3 linked regions of the Arabidopsis thaliana genome follow. The protein of the gene in region 1 interacts with the protein of each later gene in a pairwise test. Each region holds a gene or a part of one and is shown in the gene's direction. Other genes may lie near its edges.

Evidence for each region.
Region 2: the proteins of WR3 (region 1) and NRT2.5 interact in a two-hybrid assay, tested with the Arabidopsis thaliana proteins (one study listed by BioGRID).
Region 3: the proteins of WR3 (region 1) and NRT2.3 interact in a two-hybrid assay, tested with the Arabidopsis thaliana proteins (one study listed by BioGRID).

What each region holds. Positions count from the first base shown.
Region 1 is NC_003076.8:20,432,597-20,440,786, forward strand, and holds WR3 (nitrate transmembrane transporter), read left to right. Parts: upstream 1-3,583; 5' UTR 3,584-3,711; coding exon 3,712-3,713; exon of another isoform or gene 3,714-3,799; intron 3,800-3,829; exon of another isoform or gene 3,830-4,015; coding exon of another isoform or gene 4,016-4,017; coding exon 4,018-4,166; intron 4,167-4,457; coding exon 4,458-4,939; 3' UTR 4,940-5,130; downstream 5,131-8,190. Other genes in the region: AT5G50180 (Protein kinase superfamily protein), read left to right, coding at 1-287. UniProt on the Arabidopsis thaliana protein: Acts as a dual component transporter with NTR2.1. Required for high-affinity nitrate transport. Acts as a repressor of lateral root initiation. May be involved in targeting NRT2 proteins to the plasma membrane.
Region 2 is NC_003070.9:4,413,183-4,421,627, forward strand, and holds NRT2.5 (nitrate transporter2.5), read left to right. Parts: upstream 1-3,132; 5' UTR 3,133-3,222; coding exon 3,223-3,909; intron 3,910-4,259; coding exon 4,260-4,735; intron 4,736-4,809; coding exon 4,810-5,155; 3' UTR 5,156-5,408; downstream 5,409-8,445. Other genes in the region: RSH2 (root hair specific 2), read left to right, coding at 6,667-7,032, 7,343-7,884, 7,985-8,071, 8,330-8,386. UniProt on the Arabidopsis thaliana protein: Nitrate transporter involved in the constitutive high-affinity transport system (cHATS) under long-term N starvation conditions.
Region 3 is NC_003076.8:24,447,882-24,456,001, forward strand, and holds NRT2.3 (nitrate transporter 2.3), read left to right. Parts: upstream 1-2,863; 5' UTR 2,864-2,957; coding exon 2,958-3,788; intron 3,789-3,985; coding exon 3,986-4,101; intron 4,102-4,202; coding exon 4,203-4,875; 3' UTR 4,876-5,083; downstream 5,084-8,120. Other genes in the region: ABCF1 (ABC transporter family protein), read right to left, coding at 5,879-6,936, 7,023-7,542, 7,677-7,886. UniProt on the Arabidopsis thaliana protein: Involved in high-affinity nitrate transport. Acts as a dual component transporter with NTR3.1.

The sequences.
Region 1 (8,190 bases):
CGGAGGAGTTGGGCGACATTGTAACATCATGTTGGAATGAGGATCCGAATGCTCGGCCCAACTTCACGCATATCATTGAGTTACTTCTTAACTATCTCTCTAAAGTTGGATCTCCGATATCCGCTATTCCACAACGGATTCTTGCTTCGAAGAACACGCTATTGCCACCGGATTCTCCTGGAACTAGCTCTTTGATGGCTAAGCTTGATGAATGTGGGGAAACTCCAAAGGCCAAAAGTGAAGACAAACGAAAAGGTTTGTTTTTCTGCTTCAATCAATGTTATTAACCTTGAAATCACAGAGTGGTTTTAGGACCAGAGATTTGGTAGACATCACTCAAATTATTCATGTAATAATATCCTCCCTACCATATGAATTTAGCAAGAAGTTCATTTATATAAATAAATAGTTATGTAATTGTAATGAATTTAAAAGTAGACGTAAAGAAAAAGTTTCCTAAAGAGGCTCATGTTCCCTAAATGAGAAAGTTTTAGTTTTGTTAAATTTATCGTTTTCTATTTTTCTATCTCTTCTATTATCAAGACTCGAGGATTAAAGAAGTCAACTCTTCATTTTCAACTTTTTTTTTTAATCGTTTTGGTTGTGATTTTTTTTCGACCAATTAGTATCACAAGATGTCGAACTTTTGAAAACCAAAGTTTGATATCTCAAATGCTACCAAGTGTAGGTTATGTGGCTTAGCCAAAGCATGTGTCGCGTGCTTCACGAAATAAGGGACAATTGGTGCATTTAGCGTAGGGATGAAATTAGAAAACTAGAAATGAGAAGTTATCTCAGAGGTCAAATTCATATTTGGTTATTGATTCACGGATCAAATATCCAAATGACTTCTAGCCAAACCGTTAGGAGAAAATCCGTCGGTTGAGAATCATATATGGCGCTGGTGAGTGAGACCACCGAAAACAAACTTTATATTTATGAATATAGTACGATTCAAACGAATCAACATGACACTGGATGAAGACATCGGTGGTATGAATCTTCTGATTTTGAATCTGGTAACACCATCACCATCCAAAATAAGAAAAAAAAAATACGAAAAATGATTAAAGAGAGCGTCTCCCATCCCAATTACTAAAAAAAAATGGGAAAGAAACCACCCGGCAATTGCTGGTAGCCGTAAAAACCAAACAAGAAAATAGATATTACTTTTGTCCTCCCAAAGATTTTGTCCAGTTAACCAACTTTTCGAAGCCATGTCTTACGTTTTCAGTATATGCCTCTAAGGCAACTTGTATTTTCTCAAAGTGTGGTTTCCATATTGTCATAACTCGGCTTACCTAGAAAAACAAGTAACAATGGTCACAATGTATAGTGCAATGTCAAAAGAGAATCAGACATAATGAATAAAGATGGAAACATATTAACCTCAAGATAGTCGTAGGAAACGTCGAATGGTTGGGTGAAATGTGGGGTCAAAAGCCTGCTTACATGTATGTAACACCTCGATGGACTTATCGGTTAAGTATTGAATTTTTGGTTGGAGATAAATGGTTAATGTCACATACACATCTTTGATGCTTGGAATCCATTTCTGTGATATCTAAGAGAAGAATTCAAAGGTTAATAAGAATAAAGCAATAATGACTTGTCTTATAACGAAAACCAAAAACTTTCAGAATAAAACCTTTTGAAGAGTTTGGCTAAGATCTTGTTGCCGCAGAGTCACTATATATGCTTGCAACCATAATAAAAAAAAAGAGGATCATTTAAGATTGATCACTATGACAATTTTATCGATGTTAATTATGAACCTTCTTATAGAGTTACCTGAGTTTTATTTAGGTTTAGACCAAGCAACTTCCCATCGATCTGAACACAAGTAAAAAAAAAGTAAAGAAAGCTTTTGAATATGTACATACATCAGATCCAAGGGACACCATGTTTCTTACATTTTCAAGCTTTGAGCCAAGTTCCGCGACTTTCTTTTCTGCGATTTCAGCTCGAGTTTCCACTTCCAGACTTCTCTTGCGTTGCATTTCCACTTCTTCTCGTAGTTCAAGTATCTGCCAATGCAGAACTAAATTGAGGTAACAAAACAAGAAGGAAATACACACCTCAAACTACAAAACACCAACCTGTTTCTGAAGTTCATAAGCCGTTCCTTCTGCTTCACTGGATTCTCAGTCTAAATAAAAAAGCATCAACAGCAACAAAAGTGTAAATAAGTTTCTTCTATACATAACAATTTTGAATACATGAACCAAAGATTAATTAAAAATATCACTTGAAGAGATCCAACCACATCAAAGATGATGCAGCTTGAGTAATTGTTAACTCTTTCCAACTTTGGAAAGAGACAAAACGTCAAAGTGATTTCCAGAAACAGAGAACGGAAGCTCAAAAGTCTCTCTTGTGCCAAATATATTAAACCCTAAAAAATTCAACTTCTATCCGAATTTCTCAGAAACAAAACAAAGACACATAACTTCATATGAAATTCCAGTGAACGGTTACCTGAGGAAGAACCTTATTTGTTATCAGTGTAAAATAACAGAGAAGAGGTACGAGTAAAAGAAACAAAAGTGACTTAGGAAACGCCATTGTTGGAGACTGCTCACTGGAAGATAGAGAGTCGTGAGAGACAGTGATAAAGCGTATCAAGTCATATAGAGGGTCTTCTTATCTTTTTCTTTAACATGTGAGGGTTGAGTTAATTATGCGGGCTGATTATAGAGTTTTTAAATTGAATTTACGATTGTTTTTTTCTTACATATAAATGCAATCTATATTTGTGTTCGGAATAACCCATCTAATATTACTCCATGTATTAAACTAAAATATTTTGCATGTTTTGGTAGATCAACTTTTTGAATGATCACAGACCTACAAACATCAACCCTCTAATTATCCAATTTTACCATAATCCACGAGCTCTTAAAATTCATTTTTAATATATATAATTAAAATAGTTCAAACAGTTTAAACTTTGTGACCAAGTTAAAATATTTAAAATAGTTTGACTTTGTGATCAACATATTTAAATATAATCAATATTTTCATTTTTAAGCCGGAAAATCACGTCTTACAAATATATTTCTGATAGACACACCTATAATTCCAAAATTTTGACTTTTAAAACAAACAAAAAAAAATCTCATTAATACCACTACATACGTTTTTACAAAAATACCATTAAAAGATATTTTTTCAAATACTAAAAAAAACTAAAACTAAACTTTAAACCTATAAAACACTAAATCCTATAAAGTTTATATTCGAGTATAAACCTTAAAAGTTCAACCCTAAATCCTGAAAGCAAGACCCTAAACCCAAACTCAAACTTTTAAATTATAAATCCTTAAACAAAATCATTTTTAGTCTTTATGGTATTTTTAGAGTTAACAGTTTGTAGTTGTATTTTTGAAAAAAAAACACTAGTGATAGGTTTTTAGAATAAAAACTTAATTTAGTGGTATTGAGGATATTTCTCTAATAAAAATTATTCACAAAAAATATGTATTAAAGCAAAGTGCTATGCTTATTCCATGCAATCTTTTTTGAAAAAAAAAATATTTTCTAACCGATTAGTATATCTTCTAGAGGATTCATAGAAAAAGAGGATACAATTACAATATGTAGAGTATCTTATAGGTGACGTAACCATGAAATATAGAATTCTTTGGAATCTGAAACTGAATTATTCAGTTGATAAATGATAAAACAAATACTCATATCTCATCCTTTGGCATGTTTAGGAGCCATCTCTCAGCTGGACGGAGACAACACAGACACTTGTGCCAGAGAGGGAACACAATCTTCCCAAGTCTTCGAAAGGGTAATCTCAGACCAAACCGTTGACTTTGTTCTCATTAATTGTTTATGCTAAACCACAAGATATTTGGATCAAAAGTATTACCATAAATCACTATATAAAGACATAAATGTGCACCCCACTTTTCTTATCAATCATAAAAGTCAGCAAAACACAAGGCATATTCCTCTTCTCTTCCTCAGCCTTATTTTTCTGATATTCAGTTTCAAGGATATATCCATGGCGATCCAGAAGATCCTCTTTGCTTCACTTCTCATATGCTCACTGATCCAATCCATCCACGGGGCGGAAAAAGTAAGACTCTTCAAAGAGCTGGACAAAGGTGCACTTGATGTCACCACTAAACCCAGCCGAGAAGGACCAGGTGTTGGTATGTATAATTCTCTTCAAAACATCTATCATTTGCTACTTCATTAGCCATGCCTTATAAATGTGCGATTTTGCTCTAATACCATGTTAGATTTTAAAGCTTTATGAATGTTAAGACAAATTTTTATGAGTGTTGGAAACATTAGTTCTCTTTAGTCGTTTATTACAACATCATTAGATCTTATCCTATTAATTAGAATTACTTAGAATTAAGTGATATGAATGATAGTATGATCTAATATCAATTTACAAGAATAAGTTGGAATTAATATTTTGAATGTTTGGTCTTTAGTTTTGGATGCCGGCAAGGATACGTTGAACATTACATGGACGCTAAGCTCGATTGGGTCTAAAAGAGAGGCTGAATTTAAGATCATCAAAGTTAAGCTATGCTACGCTCCACCTAGCCAAGTTGACCGACCATGGCGCAAAACCCATGACGAGCTCTTCAAAGACAAGACCTGCCCACACAAGATCATAGCCAAGCCTTATGACAAAACACTTCAATCAACTACTTGGACTCTTGAGCGTGACATCCCCACCGGAACCTACTTCGTTCGTGCCTACGCGGTTGATGCCATTGGCCATGAAGTTGCCTATGGACAGAGCACCGACGATGCCAAGAAAACCAATCTCTTCAGCGTTCAGGCTATCAGTGGCCGCCACGCGTCCCTAGATATTGCCTCCATCTGTTTCAGTGTCTTCTCCGTCGTGGCTCTTGTCGTCTTCTTTGTCAATGAGAAGAGGAAGGCCAAGATAGAGCAAAGCAAATGAGTCGTTTACTTTGCGTATTTGTGACGTTGAACCCAAAAAAAGTTGACTTTGAACTTTCTTGTTTACCAATTCCTTTTGTCTTGTTGCACACTTCTTCTTTCTTATATGCTTTTATTTATGTGTTTGTACAATTAAGCCATTGATATGGAACAAAACTAATCCTACGGTGGTGATGCGTTTGTGTGCTTTATATATTTTTTATACACCTTTTGATATATTCTTACACACTTTTTTCACAAAGATTGATATTTGCATAATTTGTGGTAATCATTCTCAAAATACGGTATATATACTTCACCTCTTACTTTCAAAGAGAAATCATAAGTATAACTAAGCAATAATTCTATATATAGGGAATTATGATATAAAATTTATCCAAATTTTCAAAATATTAAACAAATATCTAACAAGTACCTAAAAATTTAAAATTTCAAGAAATGAATGGAGTATAATAAAGGTTCCTATAATAAAAGCTGGAAAAAAAATGTAGTATAACAAAATAACAATACGTGACTTTTTTTTTTGTCGTCACAAAACATAACTTTTAAATGCAAAATGGAACTTTGTAATATGAAAAGTTGTAAAGAGATTGAAAGACACCATTAACGTTTGTCGTCTAAGCCTTGATATGCTAAAAGTGATAAGCATGATGAATTGCTGACAGCGATCCCGATCATCATTAAGATTAGGTTGTCATCAAGATCTAGTTTGGGGTTACTCAAAATGTCAAACATGTCGACACATAATAAGTTTACTATATTTGTAACTATATACTAGTAATAGATGCACTGAGGTCAGCCAATGTGAGTGTGATTATAATAATACTAATACGCAAATGCATACGTACAATACTGAGGCTTAAATGTGAATACAGCTTTCGTCAAAAAGTTTAATATTTCGTTCATGCAAAACTCATTGTTATGCTGCTGTTTAATTGATGTAACTATAAAGTTTTATAAATTCGTTTTTCTGCTAGTATACAAAAAAAAAAAACAAAAAAAAAAATTTGGAGTTGTTGCCCACCGTCTATCTCATCAACCAAATCGAGCCACTTGTTTGGAAAACCAAATGGTCATAATCAATATGGCTTATCAATAAGTTGTGCTGGTTATTACAAATTAAAAAGTCCATCTACCGAATGACGAAATATTTATATTATTTTCATTAATGATACATTGACCTTTCATATCTAAAAACTGTGATAGAACCCATTCCCAAGAGACATGGAGCCAAACAAGCCACGTTCAAATGGTTAAGTTCTACGTACGGAGGTAGTACCTTCTTTTATGGTCAACAAAAAAAAAACCTATCATACCTATTTCTTTTGAACATTGAAAAAAGTAAGAAAATTCAAAATTGGTTTTTGCAAGCTTTTGTTATAAAATTATCAAGATATAACTGAAACATCAAGAATACTGAGACGTAAATTAGAATATGTGGCAATATATCCCGTTTAATTCAGTTAAATAGATTATTTATTTAAATCATTTAAAAATATTTTTAAATTTGATATATTCAAAAACTTATGATATCTATAATAAATCCAAACTAAATAAATATATTATCTATTTATAGTAGACAAATTATAAATACCAAAAAAAAGAGAATTTGTAGAAGAAAAAAATACAACCTATATTTTTCTAAAGAAATATCTAGTTCCAATGTTGGATATAAAATTATACTGGTAACATTTGAATTACATTGTATTAAAAATTTACATCATATTTAACATAATTTAAATAAATATTTTAGCATCACATATCATTAACTTAATAGTAGCTTTTATACCGATTTTAAGAATATTTAGGTTGGATCCGATAGAATTTTAGATAATTTAAACATAAAGCTAAATGTCACTAATGTTCTTTTGATCCCAAAAAAAAACATATGTTCTAGTTAGTTGCACAAATGTTTTAGTTATAATGTAGATAAACTGTCATTATCACGCTTATAAATTCAAAGTATACCTAACAATAAAAAAAGTAAGCGACAATAGTTATGTATTCATACTTATTTAAATCTATAGATTATGAACCATTAAAAAAAAAAAAAAAATCGAAAGTTTTTTTTACCGTTAAAAATATTTTCTACGATGAGGTTGAACGTCACAATATGTCATATTACAATCAGATTGAATACTATGCTCAAGTCGCTCATTAAACCATCATATGAGAATATATAGAGATGATCATCTCAAATACACATACAATTGGATATTTAAAACTATCTTTTAACAAGTAGTACACATATCCAATTAGATTCGATGTCAGAATGTTGTAGTGATTAGAAGACATTAAGCATGTGATCGTTTCCTATTATCCGCTTGATGCATGTATTATGTAATAATTAAATCATACGTGATAGGTGATTTCACTGAAGAAATAATCAAAATTGTATTTTATGTATAATACTATTTCACCAATGTAGTAAGTGGAAATAACTTCAAACATATTTCAAGAGTTTTTTTGAAATAGTAATATTCCAAATGAATAGCTAGATAATTTATTGATAGAACATTTGCAATAGATTATACGAGAACATATAAATAAAATAGTTTTATGAGGGCGTTATCTTATAACCAACTATGCCAAAAGCATTAGGGTATAACTAAAAATTATCATCTTGCATTGAGACTCTAAACAAAATTTCTTTAAAATTGGCCTTTAAATGAGTACCATCAATAGAAATGCAGTTCCAGTTCCTCATGAACTTATAACTGATGCACCAAAAACCAAAACTACATCATTTGACTTTTTTCGACATATCTTTTCAATAAAAGAGACATACATATTTATGATTTTTTTTAATATACCATATTAAAACACTTCAATAAAACTTCATAACTAATAACAAGTGTACATGAAGAAATTTATATTTGTAAATATGAGGATATTGAGGATGACGGTAATGATGATCAATTTGATAAAATAATTAAGAAAAATATCAAAAATTAACCAACAACTGCACGCCTTATTATTGTTACAAAAGATTATAACAACCTTAAAAGAAAGTTAGTGTATCTTCCACCTTAATCAACACCTGAGGATTATGGACATATATTGTTGCTTACCGGGTATGCAGTTGACGCAAATGGCATAAAAGTTTGAGAAGCTCAAGATTCTTATGTATTAAGCAAAAAAATAGTCGGATTTATAAGAATAGCTAGAGGAAAAAACTTAATCTCCGATTTCTTTGAGATGAAAATTCGACTTTGAGATAAATATTTATTAACCATATTATTGATAAGTCTT
Region 2 (8,445 bases), on another chromosome or scaffold:
CCACTAATATAGAAATATATATATATATATATATATATATATATATGTGTGTTAAGAACTATATAGGAAAATATTATACGTTTTTTTCAGGGACTATACAACACACTTATCAGATTTCCATTTCACTCATTTGATCTATAACTTTGACATTAACATCTCACATTCTATTATAAAGTATTAACACTGTAATCTTCTTTTTTTTGCTGATTTATTTTAGGAGGTGGTCATATATCTCAACCTTTAGAAAATGTACTTTATATGTCAAATATAAAAATGAGTGTGTATCTATCAAAACGAATACAATTATATTATAATAGAAATAGTTACATAAATCATGGGTTTTAATAATATAACCGAAAGTATATAAATCATCATTATGATTAAATTTTAGTAGGTCTGCCATTATAAAATCGAAATTTATCTTAAATTTAGAACTCTTTCATTATAATTTTTAAAACTTCACACAGTTAATTGAATGTAAAAAAAGAAAATCTAAGACTAAATCACATCTAAAAGTTTTCATTTTTCAAGGAACATTTAACATAAAACGACTATTAATTGATATCATAAATTTTGTCTTTTCTATTTTGAAAATGTTACTTTATGCAATAGATAAACTTAATGTGTAAGCCATCGAAATCGATGAAAAAAAAATTCAAAAACAGGATTTTTTTGTTTTGAAAATCTTCCAAATCTCTATAAACATTATAAATAGCAAAAAAAAAAAGAGAAATATATATATATATATATATATATATATATATATATATGATTCAAAAGATTTTCAAAACAGAAAATATATCTTTTTCGAGTTTATCTCTTTCATCGAGTTCGATGACTATCAACTTAAACATTAAGTTTTTATCTAGTGCATATAGTGATATTTACATAAGAGAAAAACAAATTTTGTGGTATTAATAAATAGTCGGTTTATGTTAAATGTTCCTTAAAAAATAAGTTTTTAAATATAATTTCATCTTAGATTGTCTTTTTTACATTCAATTAAATGTGTGAGTTTTCAAAGATTACAGAAAAATAATCATAAAATCCAAGATGCGTTTTGAATTTTATAACCATGAAATACATATAAACCTATGAAAATTTAATCATAATGATACTCATACACTTTCAGTTATATCTTCAAAAATCATGATTAGTGTGTATAATTGTATTCATTTTGATGGATTCACAATTATTTGTATGTTTGACATACATAATATAAAATATATAAATTCCAAAAGGTTGATATCACCGTTTCCAAAAAATAAACAAGCAAAAAGACAGATTTACGTGATAATACTTCATAATAGGATGCGAGATGTTAGTTTCAAAGTTATAGATCAAATCAGTGAAATGAGATTTTGGTAAGTGTGTTATATAGTTCTTAAAAATCTGGAATCCCGTATCATCTTTTCTTATATAGTTCTTACATCTTAACATATATATTTGTTATTTCTATATTGGTGGTTTTATATTTGCTTGAGTTCATAAACTTCTTGATAAGATTCATAAACCGTCTTTGAAAACAAACCATCAAAATGGTCCCTCTTCTTGTTTCTTTGAAAAGATCATTTCATACAAGCGATATAGACAAAGCATTTAAGAAACAACAAGTTGAGAAGTTTTGTAACACGTACGTTGTTGTAACAAAAAAAAAAAAAAAAAAGAGTAAAGACTTTGCCAAAGTTTTCGAAGACTTTACCTTTGCCATGGTTAAGGAGCCCAAAACGAAGCAAGCAACTGATCCCCGAGTCTCAAGTATTGACTTCGAAAACAAATATTAATATATATAATACACATATATATATATATATATATATATATGTAAAGCATATTAATTGATATGTAAATAACTATTATAAGATTTTAAGAGTAAATAAATAGTATGCCAAAACAATAATTTGAATACTTATACTACTATTTTGAGTTTTTGATTTTCAATTAAACATTCAATGACAAAAACAAAAAGGGAACTAATTGAATTATTGCATCTTATGCATATACTATATTTCATAGATCCAACATTAAAATAAACTAACTGTTATTTTAGACCATTGTTTTCTTTAAAATAATTGTTGCTTTTTGCCCACAGAAATTAATAATGTGTTGTTTTAGGATTTTAGTGTAAATTCTGATAAATAATGTCTAAACTTTCTCTATATAAATTAATGAAAATATGAAATAAATTTTTTCTTCTTAATTCGCTTGAAAATAAAAAAAAATGACATGAATATGGAAAACATCATTGTGAATTTTTTTGTTAGTTAGTCAGTTAAAGTAAAGATTATGGAAGTTTTGTTTTGGTAAACTTACAAAAACAAATATTAATTGTAACAAAAATTGATTTCAAACTCTCTCTCTTTCTCATTTATATAACTTTATTTTTCACAAATCACAATGCACAACTCAAAAAAATTAGAATGTTTAAAGTAGATAATGCAAACAAAAAACTCTCAAATCGATTTGATATTAATTAAATGAATCTCTTGATCTTCAAATTGAGTTACAATCTAACCTTTTCTATTTAGATAAAATGTGAAAATTTATTTTAGAACTTATACTGAACACAGAGACGTAACGAAGAGAAACAGAAAACTAAAAAATATGTTGTAAATACGACAAAAGACTATAAAAGTTAATGACATTCACGAAATTTACACGTTCTAATGGTCGATGACACAAGGAAACTTTCAATGTTGCCACAAGTGAATTGAGATCTCAAGTCAGCCTCCAATACTTCTGAAAGAGCGGTGCTAACCCTCTTAATACAAAATTTATATATCTAAACAAAACACCGTACTAAACCAAACAATCTTAGATTCAATCGCGGTGCTTACAATCTAACTTAGTTATAACAAAATTTATATATCTAAACGAAAACTAAACACCACATTAAACTCAACCATCTTAGATTCAATCAAAACCAAGATTTAATATATTTTATTTTTCATCTAGAAAGAAAAACCAGAAAACCTTTATGTAATGATTCAAGTTTTTTTTTATACCATCACACTAAAAATAAAAAGATAGCATTCAAAATCCAAAAATAAATAAATATTAAAATGATTACATCAACGCTTCACAAGAACATAAATCCATGAAAATGTCACAGCTTTAACACTCTCCTTCTCTATAAATACTCATAACCTCAAACCTGAGATTCCTCATTCCTTAAACCCCTAAACCTCCAAAATTCTCTGAACCTTCACAAAGATCACAAAAATGGAGGTCGAAGGCAAAGGAGGAGAAGCTGGAACCACCACCACAACCGCACCTCGGAGGTTCGCACTTCCGGTGGACGCGGAGAACAAAGCAACAACTTTCCGACTATTCTCAGTCGCTAAACCTCACATGAGAGCTTTCCATCTCTCATGGTTTCAATTCTTTTGCTGCTTCGTCTCCACTTTCGCAGCTCCGCCTCTCCTCCCTGTTATCCGTGAAAATCTTAACCTCACCGCCACCGACATCGGAAACGCCGGAATAGCCTCTGTCTCCGGCGCTGTTTTCGCTCGTATCGTCATGGGCACGGCATGTGATCTTTTCGGTCCACGTCTAGCCTCCGCCGCTTTGACGCTCTCCACCGCTCCCGCCGTCTATTTCACCGCCGGGATAAAGTCTCCGATCGGGTTTATCATGGTGAGATTCTTCGCCGGATTCTCTCTCGCCACTTTCGTCTCGACTCAGTTCTGGATGAGCTCCATGTTCTCTGGACCCGTCGTGGGTTCGGCTAACGGAATCGCCGCCGGGTGGGGTAACCTCGGAGGAGGCGCGACGCAGCTGATCATGCCCATCGTGTTCTCGTTGATTCGTAATATGGGAGCCACCAAGTTCACCGCGTGGAGGATCGCTTTTTTCATCCCCGGTCTCTTTCAGACTCTCTCTGCTTTCGCCGTTCTCTTGTTCGGTCAGGTAACAAACCAATCACACTCACCGGTTCAGTTATTTTGGTTTTTTCAACTAATCCGGTTTTGAGAATTTATCACCAAGTTATTTTTTGTTTTGGTTAAATTTACTTTCTTTGTATAGTCAGTTTATCCTGTTCTATATAAATGATTAAACCGATTCGTTTAGGTGCAAACCCGGTTTATTGATACCGGTTTGGGTCGTCTAGTAGAGTCTTTAGTCGGTTAATCATGGTCGAGTTTCAGTGGATATGGACAATAACTGTTTAATCATCTAAGTTGTGTCTATTACAAGGAATAGTAAAAGGATACATTTGTTTTGTCTTATGTTTGCTATATGTTTTTGGAAATGAGTAGGATCTTCCTGATGGAGATTATTGGGCGATGCATAAATCTGGAGAGAGGGAGAAAGATGATGTGGGGAAAGTGATATCTAATGGAATCAAAAACTATAGGGGATGGATAACAGCATTAGCATATGGCTATTGTTTTGGAGTAGAGCTTACCATTGACAACATCATCGCAGAATATTTCTTCGATAGATTCCATTTAAAGCTCCAGACAGCAGGGATTATAGCAGCGAGTTTTGGACTAGCCAATTTTTTCGCTAGACCTGGAGGAGGAATTTTCTCTGATTTTATGTCGAGACGGTTTGGGATGAGAGGAAGGTTGTGGGCTTGGTGGATTGTGCAAACATCAGGAGGTGTATTATGCGCATGTCTTGGCCAGATTTCTTCCTTGACAGTGTCTATAATTGTTATGCTTGTCTTCTCTGTATTCGTCCAAGCCGCTTGTGGACTTACCTTTGGCGTTGTTCCCTTTATTTCTAGAAGGTAACATACATTTTGGTATTGAGTTGCTTGATTGGTTATTCAACATTTTTGCTTACAAAAGTTTGTTTATGCAGATCTCTTGGGGTGGTATCGGGAATGACTGGTGCGGGAGGCAATGTAGGCGCGGTCTTAACACAGTTGATATTCTTCAAAGGATCGACATACACGAGAGAGACGGGTATAACTCTAATGGGGGTAATGTCAATCGCATGTTCATTACCAATATGCTTGATTTACTTTCCGCAATGGGGAGGTATGTTTTGTGGACCCTCTTCCAAAAAAGTAACTGAAGAAGACTATTATCTCGCCGAATGGAACGATGAAGAGAAAGAAAAGAACTTACATATCGGAAGCCAAAAATTTGCGGAAACCAGCATTAGCGAAAGAGGTCGAGCCACAACGACTCATCCCCAAACTTGATAAATTCATGGTGTTTTTTTTGTTTATATGTATCGACTGTTGACTATGTTTTTGTCTTCTTCTCTTTTGTTTTTCTTAAGAGTTTTCAAGAACTCAATTTCTTGATTTTATTTATAATTGTGTGATAAGTTGTGTATGTTATGTAAAACCTACTACTGGTTACTGCTTTCTTTGTAATGGAAGGCTTTTGTAAATGTTTGTTCATCATGGAATGAACAAACGTATTTTCATTTAGTATACATATTTTGTTTTTTAGTTATCTTTTGTTGATCGTGATAATAATGATTTGACCACAAGAATACAAACCAGTAGATTCATAATTTATTATACACTGTTAGTCTGTTAACCTTGTAAACCAAAAACGTTTCGATATTCATATGCTCTTTTACATCAAACACTCGGTTATTTGTTTTATCCAAATAACTATGACAATTACATAGTTACTAATTGGTACTTTATTTCATTATCAGATATTAACTGAGTTGAAAACAAAATTAGATAGCAGTTGAATTAAACTTTCTATTAGTATTACATCATTAAGTGTTTTTAGGTGACCAAAAAAAACAACAATTACATTCTTCCCACTTTACAAATACTTTTAAAACAAAACAGCTTGTCTTTTATGTCAAAGTTCATTGAAAGATGAACTTACTTTGGTATATTACAGATACCATGAAACCTTAAAATCTTCAATAGATCACATCTTTTTAGCCCAACATCTTTATTTTATTTACTTTTGGGCATATTTAGCCCAACATCTTTGGCAGGGAAGAAAAACTTTGTAATCTTCTCGCTATGCCATTGGGCTAGAAAGGCCATTATGGGCCTATTCTTATTTCATTATGTCTCTAGTGGGCCTACTACTGTCTTTACTATCTTGGCCAATTAGAATAAAATCTTTATTGTATGTTTCCCAATCTACCACATTGTCACAAACACTCACAATAATTGCTCCGCACGTAGCAAGAAGTAGGCCATATGGAGTCCACGACACAAAGATTTGAATGGTCAAAGATATATAACAAAACAAAAGAAATAAAAGAGTTGTCGCATGTTCTTATATAAACGATTTATATATTATAACTGCATTTTACATTATTGTATTGTTTAGCCGAGTCGTGCGAATGGAATATCAAATCGTCATCCTTTTGATTTTGAATGACAATTATACAGTAATGGAGACACACACACAAACATATAAACTATTAAATTCTACTGTGAAACGCTAAGTCAATAAGATTAACTGGTGTAAAGCTGTCTGATTAACAAAAACTTAAGTGTGAAAGCTGTCTTTTACCACTCTTCCAAACACTCGTAAGTCGTACCAAATCTAGTTCTTTATTTATTTTTTAATCGTTCTCTATATTATATAAAAGAGAAAATAAAACTATTAACTTCTATATAATTCATAAACCATTGATTCCTAAAGATTACAAAATCATTGATCTCCTTCTTCTTCTTTAACTTTAAGCACTCTCTTTCTCTCTTTCTCTTTCTCTTGTCGTCGGAGAATGGAGAAAGATAATGACTTCAAGGATCCGTTTCTGGCGTCAACTGAGGAGGAGGAGCTCGACCCGGCGACCCAAAAAGCATTGATGGAGTATCTTGGAGTCGGAAGCAGAGCATCTTCTCTTGTCTCCTTCTCCTCTACCGCCGTCGATATCCCTCCAATCTCCGGTGTCGGAGACTTTGTCAGAGAGTTTAGAATCGAGTCTAGAAAGCTATGGAAACTAGCTGGCCCTGCCATTTTTACAACGATGAGCCAATACTCTCTCGGAGCCGTCACTCAAGTTTTCGCCGGACATATTAGCACTCTTGCTCTTGCCGCCGTCTCCATTGAGAACTCCGTCATCGCCGGCTTTTCATTTGGTATCATGGTACGTTTTACATTGATATGTCTCCCCTGATCACATTTTTCCCTTTCTGTTATGGAACGTATACATTTAACAAATCTTTTGCATCTCTTTATAGACTAAAATAAATGATTTATTATACTTTCAAATCATTTTTCACACCAAATTCAAAGTATTAAGAATCTACAATCGATCAACTTTAATCTTTTTATATAACAACCTATATATATCATTTTGTTGTATATTTGCCATACTATAAAACTAGTTTAATATGATTTTGGTAGTTTGTATGCAAATTTCTTACGGCTATTATTTGTATGTATGGTGCCTTTAGCTTGGAATGGGAAGTGCGTTGGAAACGCTATGCGGACAAGCGTTTGGAGCAGGGAAAGTATCAATGCTTGGCGTTTACTTACAACGCTCGTGGGTTATTCTAAGCGTAACCGCTCTCTTCCTTTCTCTAATCTATATCTTCGCGGCTCCAATCCTGACCTTTATAGGCCAAACCGCTGCAATCTCGGCCATGGCAGGGATTTTCTCCATTTACATGATCCCACAAATCTTTGCCTACGCTATCAACTTCCCAACGGCGAAGTTTTTGCAATCACAAAGCAAGATCATGGTCATGGCTGGAATATCCGGTGTGGTTCTTGTGATCCATAGTTTCTTCACGTGGCTAGTCATGTCTAGGTTACACTGGGGACTTCCTGGTTTAGCTTTAGTGCTTAACACGTCGTGGTGGGTCATCGTTGTTGCACAACTTGTGTATATCTTTAATTGTACGTGTGGAGAGGCTTGGTCTGGATTTACGTGGGAGGCTTTTCACAATTTGTGGGGGTTTGTTAAATTGTCTTTGGCTTCTGCTGCCATGCTCTGGTGAGTGCAAACCTTTTTTCTCTTCCAATTATTTTGGTCCGATTTGATCCAACCCCATTAATGAATTCATATTTTAAATACAATTTATTTACTTTTGTAGTTTGGAGATTTGGTATTTTATGGCACTCGTATTATTTGCTGGATATTTGAAGAATGCTGAAGTCTCCGTAGCTGCACTCTCCATATGGTAAAATTTGTTATATCTCTTAAACTAATTAACATCTTTACAACATTTAAGGTTTACATGATTTGTTATTTGATTCATTTATTTATTATCAGAGAGATTCTCTGAATAAAGACTAGACCCAACGTGCGTAGTAGTCTCTTGTTTTGTTTAATAATCAATGTCCTTAATGTATTAAGAATTCAAAATTTTGAATACTTCCACTGCAAAGAAATTTCTAATGATTTGTTTTCCTTAATTAATGGTGTGTGGAATATGAAGCATGAACATTTTGGGATGGGCAGCTATGGTTGCGTTTGGGACAAACGCAGCAGTAAGGTAAATTCTAGCGTGTGAAATAAAACTAACTCTTTACAAATTCTACACATCTAACAAGT
Region 3 (8,120 bases), 4.0 Mb from region 1:
ATCCTAAGGACAGAACCCAATGCTGTGATCTGTACGGTTATAAAATAGGAGTACTACTTTAACAGATAAGTCAATTAAGTTATCGTTAATATATTTATTATTTAAGCAAGTCAATAATTAGCACCTATCATAAATTTTTATATGAGCACGATAAGCATCAACCACTTTATTGGTGAATAATCCCACGTTGTTTCGTGAAAATTGCCGTCATTGGAGCGCGACTATTACATTATACAACTAAAACTTTCTGAAAATTTACAAAAAGGAGTCATAATTATTCACGCTGAATAAAAAGTAAATCTGTTTTTAACCTACAACTTTTGACTCCAATCTATTCACACCGTTTACTTTTCAATTAATCCACTTGAAGGTATATACTAGTGATGTTCACTTCAAAAGCCCGTATCTACGAAATCCAAACCAAATTGAAAAATCCAATCTAAAAACTTATCTGAATCTTTTTATCTGTCGAATTCGTTGTAATTTTCCCTATATCAAACAAATTACAACCTGAACCGGGCGAACAAAAAAGGAAAAGACAAAAACTGAAATATTTTTTTTGTATAGCTTTTTGCTAGTGCTAACGTTAAGAAATTCTCAACATTGTTTGTTTTGTCTGTTAAAGTTTTTTTTATATACAAGGAGTTCCACTAAATAGTATTATGAATAATAGATAATTAAGTTTTAATTATGGTAATTTGATGAAGAACTAGACTCTATTTGCATTGTAGTTTTACGTATACATGAAAAGTAGAAGTCTACCAAGTTGAGCAATAAACATTCTATAAACTTGAGAAGTCAATGAGCCAATAACTCCTGTAATGAAAAATAGTTAGAGACAATTTTTTTTGTTTGACCTTTCCACAATTTTCGATTCTTAACCTATAAACATTGGACTTTTTTAGTTGCCTTCCCCTACATGTAAAAACAATATATATATACATTTTTGCAGCCATTTTGTGAAATAAATTCTAGAGTTGGAACTTATTTACAATGGCTGCCACTGGATTTTAATGTTTGTTTTTGATAATTAGAAAAAAAATCTTCAAATTAAATATTTGACATTTAACAATCTTCCCTAAATCTCTCCACATTAACTACACGGTTAGTTACTAAAATTAAACTTCCAAAATATTTAATATCATTTAATTACTACACAATTATCATTTTTGATATTGTTTTTCTCCATGACTATAACAATTCGATTATAATCATCAAACCGTAGAGATATTTGATAGCATTTAATTACTACAAAATTATAAAATATTTAGACAATAATTCATAAAAATATCATAAATAAGATCAATATTAATAAAATAAATGGTTTTTTTACGGGACGGGTTGGCGGGACGGGTTTGGCAGGACGTTACTTAATAACAATTGTAAACTATAAAATAAAAATATTTTATAGATAAATACAATTTGCAAAGTTTTATGTATAGTAACTTTAAAAAATAAATTGTTTCCGCGGTGTACCGCGGGTTAAAATCTAGTATATATATATAGAACTAAAACCATTACAAAAAGAAAAGATTTCGCCTTTTTAATGATGGATAATTCTAAAGCCTATAAGACTTAAACTTTTATTTAAAATCTACAGTTTGTTGCCCAAATAAAATGTGATAAGTATAGAGATAACAAAATATAAAATTATTTCTTACCAAAAAAAAATATATATATATATATATAAGACTATTTTACCGTAATTTATTGATGATTGCAGACAATACAAGATATCTCTAGTTTACAAAAATATCATCAACAATATTCGAGAGAATAGTTCTTTTGAGTATTTGCGGATGGCCGGAAACAACAACACTTAGAAATCATATTTAGTAAAGAATTATGTTTAGAGTTTAGACTTTATAGCTTATATATTATATTGAGATGATAGATGATTATAAGGAAAAACATAAGGAAGTCAACTTATCATAACGCTTCATTGTAAGGATATGCGAATATCAAAGGCGGAAAGATTTAGAATAAGTGAATAACCCATAATTTCATAAACGTTAGAGCATTTTTTTAGGAAATTATTTTAAGATAGCAATTATTTCATTTGGTGAGTCGACCACATGGAATCCTCAAGAGACAAATGAAAAATAATTAGACTTTTTGACGATTTTTGCCTTCATTGATACGTACGGCCTCTTAGGCTTTTTAGCTATTTCCAATGCCAACTGTCAACATTCGTATCTCTTTCGCCATTTTAGTGAAATTCCACAAAGTCATTATCTTTGATGTATATAACTTGCCAGGCTGCTACTATACCAAATAGATTTATAAATATTATTTTTAGATTTCTTTTCCATACTTTTTAATTCTCAAACGAAACTTTATGCAAAGTTGAAATAAAGTTTTCTTCTGCATTTCACTTAAAATTATAATTTGTCAAACAGAAGTGCAAACATTGATTTTCTGACTGAAAATTTTTCAACCTTACAAAAGTTGCTTGAACTTTGTTTAGAAAAAAGAAAATACTAATACTTGATAAACCCTCACGGTTCCTATTTTAAAACCAAAACCTTCAAATCAAAGACTCAAGAATCAATTCATAAATGTGTGAGACAAAACTCATAACCCAAATATGGTACACGTACGTATGAAACGTACTTAAATGCTACAAAAGAATAATATGTTTAGTTCTCAAATTTAAATAATTTTTTCCTTCTATCATTACTAATCAAAATTACAACTCATATCTATACTAAATGCTATTATCAGCTAACAATAATAAAATTTTCACAAATTGGTAAAGTCCTTATTAACTTTTACTTATCTTATTCAAATCTCATTATTGGACCCACCTAACCCTACCCACCATATGATATTGGTATCCCCTCTGGCCTCTATATAAACTTTGCATTTCTCTAATCTCCAACTTACACCAACAAAACACAACAAAGACCATTAGCCTTCTCTCCCACTCAGAGTCTTTCATCTCACTCTCGCCTTAAATGACTCACAACCATTCTAATGAAGAAGGCTCCATTGGAACCTCCTTGCATGGAGTTACAGCAAGAGAACAAGTCTTCTCTTTCTCCGTCGATGCTTCGTCTCAAACAGTCCAATCAGACGATCCAACAGCTAAATTCGCCCTTCCGGTTGATTCCGAACATCGAGCCAAAGTGTTCAACCCACTCTCTTTTGCTAAACCTCACATGAGAGCCTTCCACTTAGGATGGCTCTCATTCTTCACATGCTTCATCTCCACCTTCGCGGCAGCACCATTAGTCCCCATCATCCGCGACAACCTCGACCTCACTAAAACCGACATTGGAAACGCCGGAGTCGCATCCGTCTCTGGTGCCATTTTCTCAAGGTTAGCCATGGGAGCGGTTTGTGATCTCCTCGGTGCACGATATGGGACTGCCTTCTCCCTCATGCTAACCGCCCCAACCGTCTTCTCAATGTCGTTTGTGGGTGGCCCTAGCGGATACTTAGGCGTCCGGTTCATGATCGGATTCTGTCTCGCCACGTTTGTATCATGCCAGTATTGGACCAGCGTTATGTTCAACGGTAAGATCATAGGACTAGTGAACGGCTGTGCAGGCGGGTGGGGTGATATGGGCGGTGGAGTGACTCAACTCCTAATGCCGATGGTCTTCCACGTCATCAAACTTGCCGGAGCCACTCCGTTCATGGCCTGGCGGATAGCTTTCTTCGTTCCCGGATTTCTTCAAGTTGTTATGGGCATTCTCGTCCTCAGTCTCGGCCAAGATCTCCCTGACGGTAACCTAAGTACCCTTCAGAAGAGTGGTCAAGTCTCTAAAGACAAATTCTCCAAGGTACTTTTCTATATATATATATTTCTGTCTCATCTTCAAATATATAACAAATCCAGACCAAGAAGAATATGGCTCTCATTAAAAGAATCTTGCAAACATTAAACATACTCATGAAGTTTTGCAATAAATTCGTGAAGAACTATTTCGTTTATTTAGTTAAATAAATTTCTAGTGTCTAAAGGTTTTTCTTGTTATAGGTTTTCTGGTTTGCTGTGAAGAACTACAGAACATGGATTTTATTCGTTCTTTATGGATCTTCCATGGGAATTGAATTAACTATCAACAACGTTATCTCCGGATATTTTTACGACAGGTTCGATTTCTTATTCGTTAAAACCCAACTGATGAACTTACTTACTTCTGTCACAAGGTAATAACCTTAATTTGTTTTCTTGTTCTCTACGTATTTATCAGGTTTAACCTTAAGCTTCAAACAGCTGGTATAGTAGCAGCCAGCTTTGGAATGGCTAACTTCATCGCCCGTCCCTTCGGTGGTTACGCTTCTGATGTAGCGGCTCGGGTTTTTGGCATGAGAGGCCGGTTATGGACCTTATGGATCTTTCAAACCGTAGGAGCTCTTTTCTGTATCTGGCTAGGTCGAGCTAGTTCACTTCCCATAGCAATCCTAGCAATGATGCTCTTCTCAATCGGTACACAAGCAGCTTGCGGAGCCCTCTTCGGAGTTGCACCTTTTGTCTCGCGCCGCTCTCTAGGGCTCATATCGGGACTAACCGGCGCAGGAGGAAACTTCGGGTCCGGTTTGACTCAACTGCTTTTCTTCTCATCAGCGAGGTTTAGTACAGCTGAGGGACTCTCATTGATGGGCGTTATGGCGGTTTTGTGCACACTCCCAGTTGCGTTTATACATTTTCCGCAATGGGGAAGCATGTTTTTAAGACCGTCGACCGATGGAGAAAGATCACAGGAGGAATATTATTACGGTTCTGAGTGGACGGAGAATGAGAAACAACAAGGATTGCACGAAGGAAGCATCAAATTTGCAGAGAATAGTAGGTCAGAGAGAGGCCGGAAAGTAGCTTTGGCTAACATTCCAACGCCGGAGAACGGAACTCCAAGTCATGTTTGAAGACAAAACTTACAAGAGATTTTCCTTTTACATTAAATCCCTTTTTAATAGTTTCATACTCCACTCATATATGTACCGAGTAAGACCTTTTCTGTGATAGGTAAGGATCGATGAGCTTGGTACTTTAGTATAAATTATTGTAATGTCATCAGAATGTTCAACTACTCTTTTTTCTGCACCAATAAGCTTTATGTTCAATCAGATTTACATGTCAAGTGAAAAAAACAAAAAAAGTCTCTGTTTACGGTGTGTGAAATGCTAAGAGAGTCCACATGAAGAAAACTTTATGGACAAGGACCACGGAAGAAGCAATTGAATGAGTGATCTTTACATCACAGAAACGGATCTCATCGAAAGAATGTAAGAAGAGTATGAGAAAATAATAAACTACATAGATTTTCGAAATATTGATTCAGAAGATTAATATGTTATTTTTTTCCACTCACACTACTCATTTTACAAGAGATACTCCAGAGATTTTATGTGCAACTCTGTAATTTGATTCAAGATTCCTTCACTGGAATCAACATAAAGATGGAATATCTGAGTCACCTTTCCAACGAATATTCGAATATAATTATGAGAATATTCGAATATAATTATGAGAATATTCCCACTTTAATATTAAATATAATACCATAATCGTCAACATCTCAGTCTTTAAAAAAACAGAAAAAAAAAATCCTACAATACCACCAAAAAATATTACTTTTCTCTCTGTTTCGCCTTCAAAAAAACGTTCAACAACAATAACGAAAAAAAAAGAAGGTGCACATGATAATGATAATACTAATATAGAAAGAATCTCTGACCTCTTAAGGAAATGCAGAGATTAGTGAGTATGGTTTCTCTGTCTCTCAAGTGTGTGGCTTTAGAACTCGTTAAAAACCATTCCCAAACCCATCAAAAAAACCAAAGCCTTCCCTCTCTCTCTCTTAGCATGTGACCCCAATCTGAGTCTTTTCCATTTTCCATCAAGAGAAGAAGACTCGACTCTCTATCTTCAATCTTCAAGTCCGGCTTTAGCCTTAAGGTGCCTCTTGAAGTCCATAATGTCACCATTCCATTTAGTGATGCATTGTTTCTCGCAAACCCATATCTCATGAGCCACTTGGTTGATCAACCTGAAGTCGTGACTAACCAGAACCAAACCACCATCCCACTCATTCAATGCCTCAGCAAGCGAGTCGATTGTCTCGATATCCAAATGGTTAGTAGGCTCATCAAGAAGAAGCATGTTAGGCTGCTTATAAGCTAACCACGCAAAGATCACTCTGCTCCTTTGTCCGTCAGATAGATTCTTCATTGGCATCACTTGAGCCTTACCAGTTAGACCAAACCTACCAATCGCAGCTCTCATTTTCTCCTCTTCAGTACCCGGGAACTCCCTCATCATGTAGAGAAGTGCAGGCAATTCCAAGTCTAGCTTCTCAGCCAGATGCTGATGGTACTGAGCAATCTTCAAGTGGTTGTGACGTCGCACCATTCCTTCAGTTGGGTGCAATTCACCAGTCATGAGCTTCAAAAGTGTACTCTTTCCAGCTCCATTAGGTCCCACAAGGGCAACCCTCGAGTCCAAGTCGACACCAAAGTCAATGTTCTTGTAAATAAGATAGTCCGGTGTGTAACCAAAAGACACTTCAACAAACTGAAGCACTGGCGGTGGAAGCTTCCCAACATCAGCAAAACGGAAAACGAGAACACTGTCTCTAGCAACCTTTTCAGTGAGCCCACCTCTCTCCATCTTTGCCAATGTTTTCTCCTTACTCTGTGCTTGACGAGCAAGTTTGGCTGAACCGTGACCAAACCGAGCAATGTACTCCTTCATGTGAGAAATCTGCTCCTGCTCCCATCTGTATTGTTTCATCTGGTTCTCTTCAAGTTCAGAACGAGTCTGGCAATACTGATCAAAGTTACCAGTGTAGTACTTGAGCTGTTTGCTCTGCATGTGGATGATGTTTGTACACACTCCATTCAAGAAATCCTGTGAGTGGGATACCACAACAAGGATGCGATCAAAATTCTTCAGGCTCTCTTCTAGCCACACACAAGCTTCCAAATCTGTTCCAAGAGACAACAACAACATCAGCGACACGATACTTAAGGAAAACCATCTGAAGCGAGTACAAAGAAGAGAGATTACCAACCTAAATGATTAGTCGGCTCATCAAGCAAAAGGATTGTCGGCATAATGAAGAGTGCTCTTGCCAATGCAATTCTCATCCTCCAACCACCAGAGAAATCTTTTGTCTTCTTCGCCTGCATTTCCTTGTCGAAACCAAGTCCAAACAGAATTTCAGCAGCACGTTTCTCAGCGGTTTCTGCATCCATGGCGTCTAACCTCTCATAGATAGATTGAAGACGCTCTCCGCCTCCATCATCCTGCTGTACAAGAATTTCAACTTCTTTCTCTAACCTCAACCTCTCCTCATCACAGCTAACAACAGCCTCCAGGGAAGACATGTCAGTAGCTTCAATCTCGTGAGACAAATGGTAGATATCCATTTGATCCGGAATCGGTATCTCTCTGCGTCCGATTGCAGTTAAAAGAGTGGACTTTCCACAACCATTCAACCCAAGGAGACCATAACGCCTTCCATAGTTAAGCTCCAACATTGAATCAACAATAAGGTCATAACCATGAAACGTCACAGACAGAGATTCTATCTGCAACATATTTTAAACAGAGGATACAAAGTATGAGCAATCAAACAAGGATTATCCAAACATATATTCACAGATCAAAGGACACGAATCTAAATTTCCAAATCGAATCACGAAATCTAGATAAGAGGACTTACTCGGATATCTCTAGATTGAGGATGAGAACAGAGAACTCCGGTACAAGTCCGATCAGAAATTTGAAGAGCATCGACACCGCTTGACAAGCTATCAACACCGTTGGAAGAAGTAGCGGCGGATTTGGATGGAGCAGCAGCTTTACCACCTCTTTTAGCGGCGGCAGCAGCTTTCTTCTGAGCTGCCTTCTTCTTGCTAGCGTCAGACACCATCTTCAAATTATCTCCCTGAGAAAACAGATCAAATCCAAACTATAAGAAATCAAACCGTGGAGAATACGATAGAGATAATAGAATCAACGAATCGTGGAAGAGGAAATAGTAAATTTTTTACCTGGGAGATTCGGGAGATCTGTAGATCTAGGGTTTTCAGCAGAAGACGAGTTCGGCAAAAATTAGGGTTAATGGTGGTTTCTGTTGACGCGAGGCGGAAGAATCGGTATTTAT